Bombyx mori: one gene and its partner. The protein of the gene in region 2 interacts with the protein of the main gene of each other region in a biochemical or structural test. Links are inferred from orthologs where the notes say so. Each region holds a gene or a part of one and is shown on either strand. Other genes may lie near its edges.

Region 1 (4,859 bases), on a different chromosome or scaffold from region 2:
GGAATGACACCAAACTCAATTAATGTGATATAGCGCTGCACAAAATATGGACATAATATGACATGATATAGTGATTCCCCTGTATGACATCATTAGGCCTCACCTTGCCAAATCCATTTAAACTTACTTTGAAACACTCAAATGGGGTGTCTTACTCTGCCACTGTATACCCCAGATATTCCACCATCCGATTTATATTTATAATTTATTAATTTATTATTCTACTATTACATTAATTTATGCCTATTTTGAAACACCCCCAATTGTTTTGTTCCAGAAACTTTCTATCAGAGTTTGCTATGAACCAAATAGTCCCTATAATAAAAGAAAATTTGGTGTACAAATTGTGAAGAAACAACTAATTGTTTAAAGATGCAGACAATAAAATGTGTTGTTGTGGGTGATGGTGCTGTTGGTAAAACATGTCTTCTGATCAGCTATACAACTAACAAATTTCCATCAGAGTATGTTCCAACTGTATTTGATAACTACGCAGTCACTGTCATGATTGGAGGTGAACCTTACACTCTAGGTCTTTTTGATACTGCAGGTAAAATTTACTATTTATTGGAAATTTGTTTTGGTATGAAAAATTAACATGCATTATAAATTATACATCTTCATTTCAGGTCAGGAAGATTATGACAGGCTAAGACCACTGAGTTATCCTCAAACAGATGTTTTCCTTGTATGCTTCAGTGTTGTGAGCCCTAGTTCATTTGAAAATGTAAAGGAAAAGGTATATTAAAAAGTATTGTAATTTATTATATAATTCATTATATACATGATATAGACTTAAATCAAAGATAGTGATGTAAAAATTAGTAAATAAGATTTAGCTAGTATGGAAACTAATCTGAGTATTTGACTTTCCAGTGGGTCCCTGAAATAACTCATCATCAACAGAAGACACCGTTTTTGTTGGTTGGGACGCAAATAGACTTGCGCGATGATTCGGCTACAATGGAGAAACTTGCTAAAATAAAACAGAAGCCGGTTTCATTGGAACAAGGAGAGAAATTGGCAAAAGAGCTTAAGGCTGTCAAATATGTAGAATGCTCAGCGCTTACCCAGGTATGAAAATATATCCCAAAAAAATATTATTTCTGATGGTAAAAATATTTTATAATATCTGCTCATGCCTGCATACCTGATGTTTGTTTAAAAGTAATATACCTACAAAGATCCAAAGAAAGTAATTAGAGAAATAGTGGATGCCTCCACTCCGATGCTGTACTGTTGCACATATAATATGTCTAGACTGCTTAAGTAATTATAGATTTCCAGGGTTATAAAAAGAAAATGATTGAAAATGTAGTATTTTACTGTCAAATATTTTAAAAATTAAATTTTAAGTTTTTTAAGTTTTAGCTTTTAAGTTTTTCTTTTCTACATAAATGAAATATAGTATACACTGTAAGCAATAATTTTCTTTGGAAAGTACATCATATTCATCTATGTCCTACCTATTGCTCTGGTGTGGTCTGTTCACGCTCCTAAAGCTTAGCACTACAAGTGGATAGTATATTCGATGCCTCCAATGAACACTACTCTAACTCAAAATTTTGAAATTTTCGTTTTTCACGCAAATCGCTTCACTATTTTAAAAGTATTACAAAATCATTATTGATGGGGATCGAAGCAAGAGTAAATCAGCTAGTTACACAAGAAAAAACATAAATATATCTGCAATAATAAAGATTTTATCAGCTTTTTTTGTTTAAATGCTCTTCCTGTAAACCTACGAATTTGGAGTTAGAGTAGTGTTCATTGGAGGCATCAATTTGATGATCATTCTAGCAATACATACATACATACATTATAGCAATACATTTTGTCAGAATTTGTCGATACAAGTTAAAAAGTTGGCAATACAATTGTGTGGATAAAATAAAATAAATTGCAGAAAGGTTTAAAGAACGTGTTCGACGAGGCTATACTTGCTGCACTGGAGCCTCCGGAACCAGCAAAGAAAAAGAAGTGTGTCCTTTTGTAAGAAGTTAAACGACCTCGCCCTACCCGCCGTTCACCTGCATGGGCAACGCTGTAATATTCAACATATTTTTATAATATATCTATAATAATACCAATATTATGCCATAATCATTAAAAAAAAGAATATTACAGAGTATTGGAATATTTGCCACCAAGTATGTAAACTGTACAGGTTGTCAGTTTTCCATTCATTATTATTATTATAACAATTAATTAAATACTAAAGATGATTTTATAGCATTGTCTTTTGTAAAAATTACTTTTATTTATACCAATTATAAAGTCATGTGTACCTATGTTTATGCAATTATTATGAAGACTTCAGTGGATAGTCAAGTGTCGTGTATAAACCTTTTCCTACATTGTACTAGAAAGGCAGACATTATTAACTCTGTAACTTATGACATGTTCTGCCTATGTAGACCAATCACTGTAATGAGATATTTGCACAACATTTGCTATGCACAGTGCGAACTATGCATTTTTGTTAGTATTATGCTATTTGAATAATATATGTGTAAATGATTGAAATTGCTATTAATTGAAACGCCTGTCTTGGCTGACAGCCGTCCATATTATGCGTTTAATTTTATAAGTTTGGTATGTTTACATAAACATATTAAAACAAGCTTGTCAGGTGAACTAACCATGTAAACTAGAATTTTATTTTTTTGGTCATTTGGACCATTTCAACTGCAATTATAAAATATATTATAATCATAAATATACAGATACAGAGTACTAGTATTTTATACTGAAATATATATATTCACTTTATACAATATTTTATCTTTTAATTTAACAAAGTCTATATTGTTAGTTTCAGTTCATAATGTGGAGTGCAATTTGTAGTAAACGCCGCAATAAATATATTCATGTTTTTTAATACATTATATTGTGAGAATCTCTCACTATCATGTCACAAGAGATCTCTGAACTGTGGTTTCTTGAATGAGCAATATGAATATACTAATCAATATAAAATACATTTAACCACTTGTCAAATCAAGAGTATTACGCTTGAAGGTGAAATTCTCACAGATAAAATAATAATATTATTAAATATTTGTAAAAGTCCCTGAATGCCAATTTATAGAATTTAAATGTGACCACAAGGACTTATTAATATGAAATTAAATGCACTGTGTAATACTCAATGGAAGACGCTAATATAAAAACCAAATAACAACATTTGGAGGAATCACTCATCCGTACCAGGTGCAAACAACAGTATTTTGACATAAAAGTATTTTGGCGCTAAGATCATTAAAATGTATCATTTCATTAAATAATCAATTCGCATATTCATATGGCACCAAATATCTGATAATTGTAAACATAATTTTCAATATAGTTGTATTTATTTCCCACTTTATATTCAATTCAGAATTCATTTCTAAAACATTGTCATAAATGTCTACTGAAAATGTATTTACTGAATATTATTGTGTCAGTAACTAGTTATGTATAGGTGTATATTGAGAAGTAAATAAATTTAAGATCAAATTATTCTCCTTATTTTACACCAACTTTACCTTGGACTTAATATTATCAGCATAAAGGAATATTTTGATTGTTTTACTGAATTTCGTTAAGAGCAATATTTAGATACTTAAACTTGTATGTAGTTAATGGAATTACATCTTCTTAAATATGTAAAATGTATCCACCGATTTTTTATCTGAAAGAAAATAAAAAATTCTCTTAATCGAAAATCAATAAAAACAACGCTCTTGATAGCAACAAAATGTAAACTGTAATGATTTTTTTCATGGATGTTTAAGATATATAATTATTTCAAGTGTGGTGATTTATATAAATTTGAAAATATTGCAAATAAGTATAAATCTAGAATTCATGTCCTTAATACTGTATCGACATTATATGAGCTGGTATGTGTTAGATGTGTGTTAACTATTTCAAAAGTCATGAGAAATAGCGCATATGTAATGCTACAATTTGATTCAATTAAAGGATTTTTTTAACGTATTTTGTTTTAATTATATCTCCTTGCACAGAGTGTGAGCCAAATATTTTAAACTACCTCAATTCCGGTGAAATTGAAGTTCTTAACTATGACCATCTTTTTACGAATAGCCTTTTGGCTTGAGCCTATATTCTTTCCCAGGTTTCAAATTATATTTGTAGTGCATCTCGTAAATTTCGGTTTAGTAGTTTGGGTAGTAGGTTAGTAGTAAACGTAACAGACGGTTACTTTAGTCTTTTCATTTATTCAAGTAAATTCGGTAACTGGTAAAAATATGCTTTTTTATAACGTTGATTTTATCGAAGCATTGACTGTGTCCTTATTCTAAATTCTGCTCCGAATTAGGCTGTGTACCTATCGAAATTACATGAAAATCCATTCAGTGGCTCCGGAGATGTGCAAAAACAAATGGATAGAAAATAAAATATTTTAGTTGTGCACCCTTTTTCTAGTTTATTATTCTTCAGTAGACAAACACTGGGATCTACTGTTTTAAATTGACTAGCCTCTACCCGCATCGTCCCCTCTTCGATGTACCATTGACAAATAATAAAAATATGTTAATTAGAAAGTAAGTGCTCCTGAAATAGCAAATATAAATAGAGAAACAAATATAAATGAAATAAAGTCATTGCGTACAAATATCTATGTTATTAGTAACTTAACTAGGCAGACGTTACACAGATGGTTGGCATCACTAACTCCGGTGGATTTACTTTTACACTAGGGACAGTCGGGGCAGTGCCCAGGACGGCAATTTTTTAGGGCGGCAAAATTTTGAATATAAAAATTTTTTTTAGTCATCAAGTTTTTTTTTTTTTTCCTACCTAAGCTGGTAGTCTAGAGAGGCTATTCCAGCGTAACCGTAACTAGTAGG
Region 2 (4,869 bases):
TCACCCCCGGGCCAGCCACGAACTTCTCCGGTTATAACTTGTAATTCTAACTCCTTTTGACGTCGCAATGCCGCACAAGCACTCTGAATCATAGGAAAAAAATAGAATAATCCAGCTGTATTAGGTAATTTGCATGTACAATGGTTTGTAATTGAAGAGATCTGAAAGCCTATTTTTGCTTGCACCCTTACAACAATATTGGGTGTTACAAGTTTACTTTTTTATACACTCCTAAAACACTTTATCTGCCGTACAATTGTAGTGTTCTCGGCTTGCACGTGCTTCGGTGCACTTAATACTTAAAATTTGTTTATATTAATTTTACCGCAATATCTTTGTAGACAACAGATGCACGATGAGTATCGCCCCGGTCAGGGTGGGCTTCGTGGACATGTCTTGCCAATTCTTGTAGCATAGCTGGATATTTGCCGAGACGTCTAAATGGCTTTGAAAGACCAGCTGTTAAAACAAGGACCCCTGGACACACTGCACCTGCATTTTCCATCCACGTGTTTAAGTCCTCCCTAAAATAATATTAACCAATTTACCATTGTTTTTTGCACTACACTTGTCATAGCCCAATTGATACATGGGGCAAATATAGTTAATTTGTGAGAATTTACTAATTTTTAAGAAATTGCAGAAACAGCAAAGCAACATAGAAGCTAACATGATTAATAAAGACAGAATATTAATAAAATGATCCAAAGTACCCATGTGTTGTTTTGACTCAACTTTTTGGGTTGATAAGTTTATATTATATTAAAGGCATTCAAATAACGTACTTATACTTATCAAGGATACACACTGCCTTTGGATGTCCACCACAGTAAGTTTGGTGTACTGTTTTAATTTTTGGTGCCCACTGTAAAAACAATCCTCCTACTCTCTGATCTGGACCTGTTTTGGTTGCACTTTCTTCTAACAGCCCTAAGAACTGTTCATGAATCTGCAAGACCTCATTTATATTGCCGGTCAATTGTTTGAATTCATCTTTAGTTAGCCTGCAATCAAAAGAGAATTAAATGTATATCTTATGCTATGTAAGCTTATGAAGATTAAGCTCTATGAACTGCCAAGCAAGAAACTGTCAAATTCAAAATGCAGCCTTCAGCATGCTCGCCAGAATCTTGCAACAAACATCCAGTCATTGGATAATATTTAAGGGCACTCTGATCAACAAATTGTATCTAATATTAACCAAGTATTCATCCCCAAGCATGTCCCCAGTCAAAAGATACAAATCAACATCAGTTAAGGTAGTCACAATACAAACCGGTCTACTTTTCATATTGTTCAAAGTGAACCAATTAATGTTTAACAATATCTTACTTCAGTGTACAGAAAAAAACAGAACAGTTTGATAAATATAAAGCTATGAACTAAAAATAGCTGTTAGCGTATGTCAGACTTCATTTCATGACTCTGTTCCTAATGGTTTGCCATCTGTGCTTTATTATCTTGTTTTAAATTTAATGAAATATGACTCAATAAAACCACACAAAGTCTGGAAAATTTGTTTTTTTTTTCAATTGTTCCTGTTACTTTTTAACATGTATGGTAGTCAGAAGGCTGCATGTTTATATTAGATTGAGGTCACTAATGTGTAACAGTTATAATTATCAAGAGGTCTAGGATACCTCCATGACAAATAAAGAGTATACCATTATGTTGACTGTACATAATTTTAACACCAGCATAGTCACATCAATCAATACAAGAGTACCAAGCATCGTATCTTTAAGGCCTCTATAATTTCAAAATTCTCCATCATTGTGTATTAACTATAATACTATTCTGATAACCCAACAATCCAAATTATTTAAATGCAAATAGCAGTACACAGACATTTATTTCACTCTTATTTATTTGTCTTTTTTTAATTAACAACGATAAATATAAAATGGTGTACATATTTACATTTCACTTTTTTCCAGAGGATGTAAGAAGTTGGTGACAAGACCCTGCATTTCTGCAACATGGGCCTTTTCAGAATCTATTATGTCTTTCAGCACCACATTTCGGAATGCCTGTATCTCAGACACAGCTCGTATAGGTGATGTTGTCACTGAACCTGATGCATCTGTTTGATTTAATTAAAGACATTTACATTCATAAGAAAGTTATATGTTTATTGTTCCCATACAAATAATTTCCTAATACTAGAAATCCCAAATTATAGTTTATTAATAAAATATACTTATAATAATATTAAAATACATTTAAATTACTATGAGTGAGCAGAATTTTTCAAGTATTAAATATTTTTTAATGAAAATGTGATTAAAAACTATCAAATTGTTTTATAATTGTATTGTGGCTTTGAAGCATAAGATGTACAATTATATGACAAACGTTAATGATCTAATAATTAGAAAGATGCAGAATTACCTTTATATTCAGTAACATAGTTGCTTGGGAACCAGCCTGTAGTTTCACCCAGAGTGCCTTCCCACCATCCTCCTTCTTCCTTTTGCGTGACAGTAATAATATCGCCTTTTTTGAAACATAATTCATCATTGTTTTTACCTTTAAAAGAGTATATTGCCTTAACCAAGCAATTTTCTGCTGACATTTTACCAAAATTTTAGCACCATTTGTAGTCTAAAAAAAAAGTTTTTTGTTACTTATTAGCTATTTAACATAAAGAAAACATCCAAAAATGTTCATTTTAAACAAAAATGTATTATAAACTACTATGAGTACATGACAAATAGTAATTGTCGTCTTCCGGAATGGTTTATTTTATAATTCAAAGTAGCTGTCATTTCCATTACTATTCAGTATGGCTCAAGGATTTACATTACTGAAAATATGTGAAAAATTAAAGCAAAATTACTTACTTTTCGTATTTAGTACATAAAAATTACATTCTGCATGAATGAATAAAAAATACAAGTCGAAAAACACTGCACAGAGTACCGTACATTACAATTGAACTATGAATTTCTCTGTACCGTTTTTGGGGTGATTAGGAATTGAGAGGCGAATGGGGAAAAAACCAGGAAAATCTTTCGACGCTCAATATTAGTTTTATATTCGTTGTAAAATCTTCCATTTTGTGTAGTTTAATAGTAGAATGTTGAAAGTTCACAAAACAACTCTGAATATGCATGATAATAGCTGCTAAGTTATAAAAAATCGCATTTCAAGTGAACTTCTTGTGGTGGTAATTATTTTAGTGCAGGAAAATTTGCTCTCTTTTATTTATTTGATAATAATAGAAAACGACTGTGATTTATAAACGTAAAGTGCCTTATTCACGATCCATCTTGCTGTACGTCCCGCCAAGGCCATGCACGATGCACGATGCAAAAGGATCATGAATAGGCTTGACGTACGTCGATAATTATTATTAATTGCGGCCTTGAGCTGACGTACAGCCGTGATGGATCGTGAATAAAGCGCTAAATGCATCGTGCATCGTGCATGGCCTTGGCGGGACGTACAGCAAGATGGATCGTGAATAAGGCACTTTATTTAGTGTTTGAACCATCATATATATAAAGGTAAGTCTCAATTATTATTGGTTTTAATGTATTTGATAAAATAAAAATACATGTAAAAATCTGTTGTTTTTGGGGATATTGGGGACGTCTCAGGTACAAATAACAACGAAAAAGGAATCAGTTGGGATAAGATTAAGTGAAATGGAAACGAACTACGTATAAATAAGTACAGGTTTGTAGGGTTGTGTAGTTATTACAATATTTCTTAAATTTGTTGGTAAGAATCTGGTTTATTCATGATGTTTTTGTCTAGAACTTTTATTCAAAGTTATCAATGTAGTGTTAATTTATTGTTTGGCAATATTTATGTTATCAGTTACCTACGTGTTGTTTTCTATTTTCAGATATGCTTCGCGTGTACGTATCAAAGAGTGCAAAACTTTCTAAGAGATATGATTAATATTAAAAACAGTAATAGAAGCCTATGAAATTAGGAATAAATCTTTAGTTGAAATAGCTAAGGAATTTAACATAAGTAAGTCGGTTTTGCACAGACATGTAACAAGAACAATGAAATCTCAAGGTGGACAAAAATGTCTAAGTAATACATAATAAAATATATTAATATTTGTTCAAAGTGGGGGGAGGATGTTTAAAATTATCAGGATCAAAACGATTGAGTCTTGGGGGTATCTTTGTTATCCAATTTAAAACTATGCAACTTGCATTTGAGCTTAAGCAAAAAAAGCAAAAATAGGTGTAATCCCTATTTACCCGGAAATTGCGGTTAATAGGGACGAAATTAGTGTTTAATAGAGAATTTTGCTAGGGTTGGCACTACTTGTTTTTAATTAATTTATTTATTTAGTTACATCAACAAAGTGATCATCAATAAAAAACCTTGAAAAACTGACAAAAGTACATGACAGATGTCATCTCAAGTGCAATCGACAGTGCATTGACATTATTGACAACCAAAAAAAAAAATTATAACTAAAACTTGATTACATTTAATTACTTATGATTAATTTGTATTTACTTGGGAAATGATCCGCGACAGACTTTTCCTGTAAATTGTGAGACAATTAGAAAAAACATATATTTCATCATTTAAAATTAGTTCAGCGCAATCGGACAACGTCGCTCTGGTCGCCCTATTAGGTACGGGTAAAATGGATGCCATTTTTGAAAAAGTGGAGCAAGACCGGCATATCAGTAGTTACGATGTAGCTGAAGAGCTGGGAATTGACCACAAAACACGTCTTGGCGCATTTGAAAAAAACTGGGTACACAAAAAAACCCGATATTTGGGTACCTTACGAGCTCACTGAAATAAACCTAATGAACCGTGTACTCATTTGTGATTCTTTATACGACCTAATGAAACCGAACGATTTTTGAAGAAGATGATAACTGGTGA

The links. The genes of interacting proteins can lie anywhere in the genome.
Region 1: the proteins of rho guanine nucleotide exchange factor 7 (region 2) and cdc42 homolog form a complex in vitro, tested with the Homo sapiens proteins (2 studies listed by BioGRID). The link is inferred for Bombyx mori from reciprocal best matches to the Homo sapiens genes ARHGEF7 and CDC42.

Annotation. Positions count from the first base shown.
Region 1 is NC_085107.1:13,959,789-13,964,647, reverse strand, and holds the end of cdc42 homolog, read left to right. Parts: intron 1-277; 5' UTR 278-372; coding exon 373-550; intron 551-629; coding exon 630-739; intron 740-876; coding exon 877-1,074; intron 1,075-1,906; coding exon 1,907-1,996; 3' UTR 1,997-3,980; downstream 3,981-4,859. UniProt on the Homo sapiens protein: Plasma membrane-associated small GTPase which cycles between an active GTP-bound and an inactive GDP-bound state. In active state binds to a variety of effector proteins to regulate cellular responses. Involved in epithelial cell polarization processes.
Region 2 is NC_085110.1:9,318,168-9,323,036, forward strand, and holds the start of rho guanine nucleotide exchange factor 7, read right to left. Parts: upstream 3,031-4,869; 5' UTR 2,844-3,030; intron 2,605-2,843; 5' UTR 2,576-2,604; coding exon 2,392-2,575; intron 2,084-2,391; coding exon 1,921-2,083; intron 1,005-1,920; coding exon 786-1,004; intron 525-785; coding exon 326-524; intron 84-325; coding exon 1-83. UniProt on the Homo sapiens protein: Acts as a RAC1 guanine nucleotide exchange factor (GEF) and can induce membrane ruffling. Functions in cell migration, attachment and cell spreading. Promotes targeting of RAC1 to focal adhesions. May function as a positive regulator of apoptosis.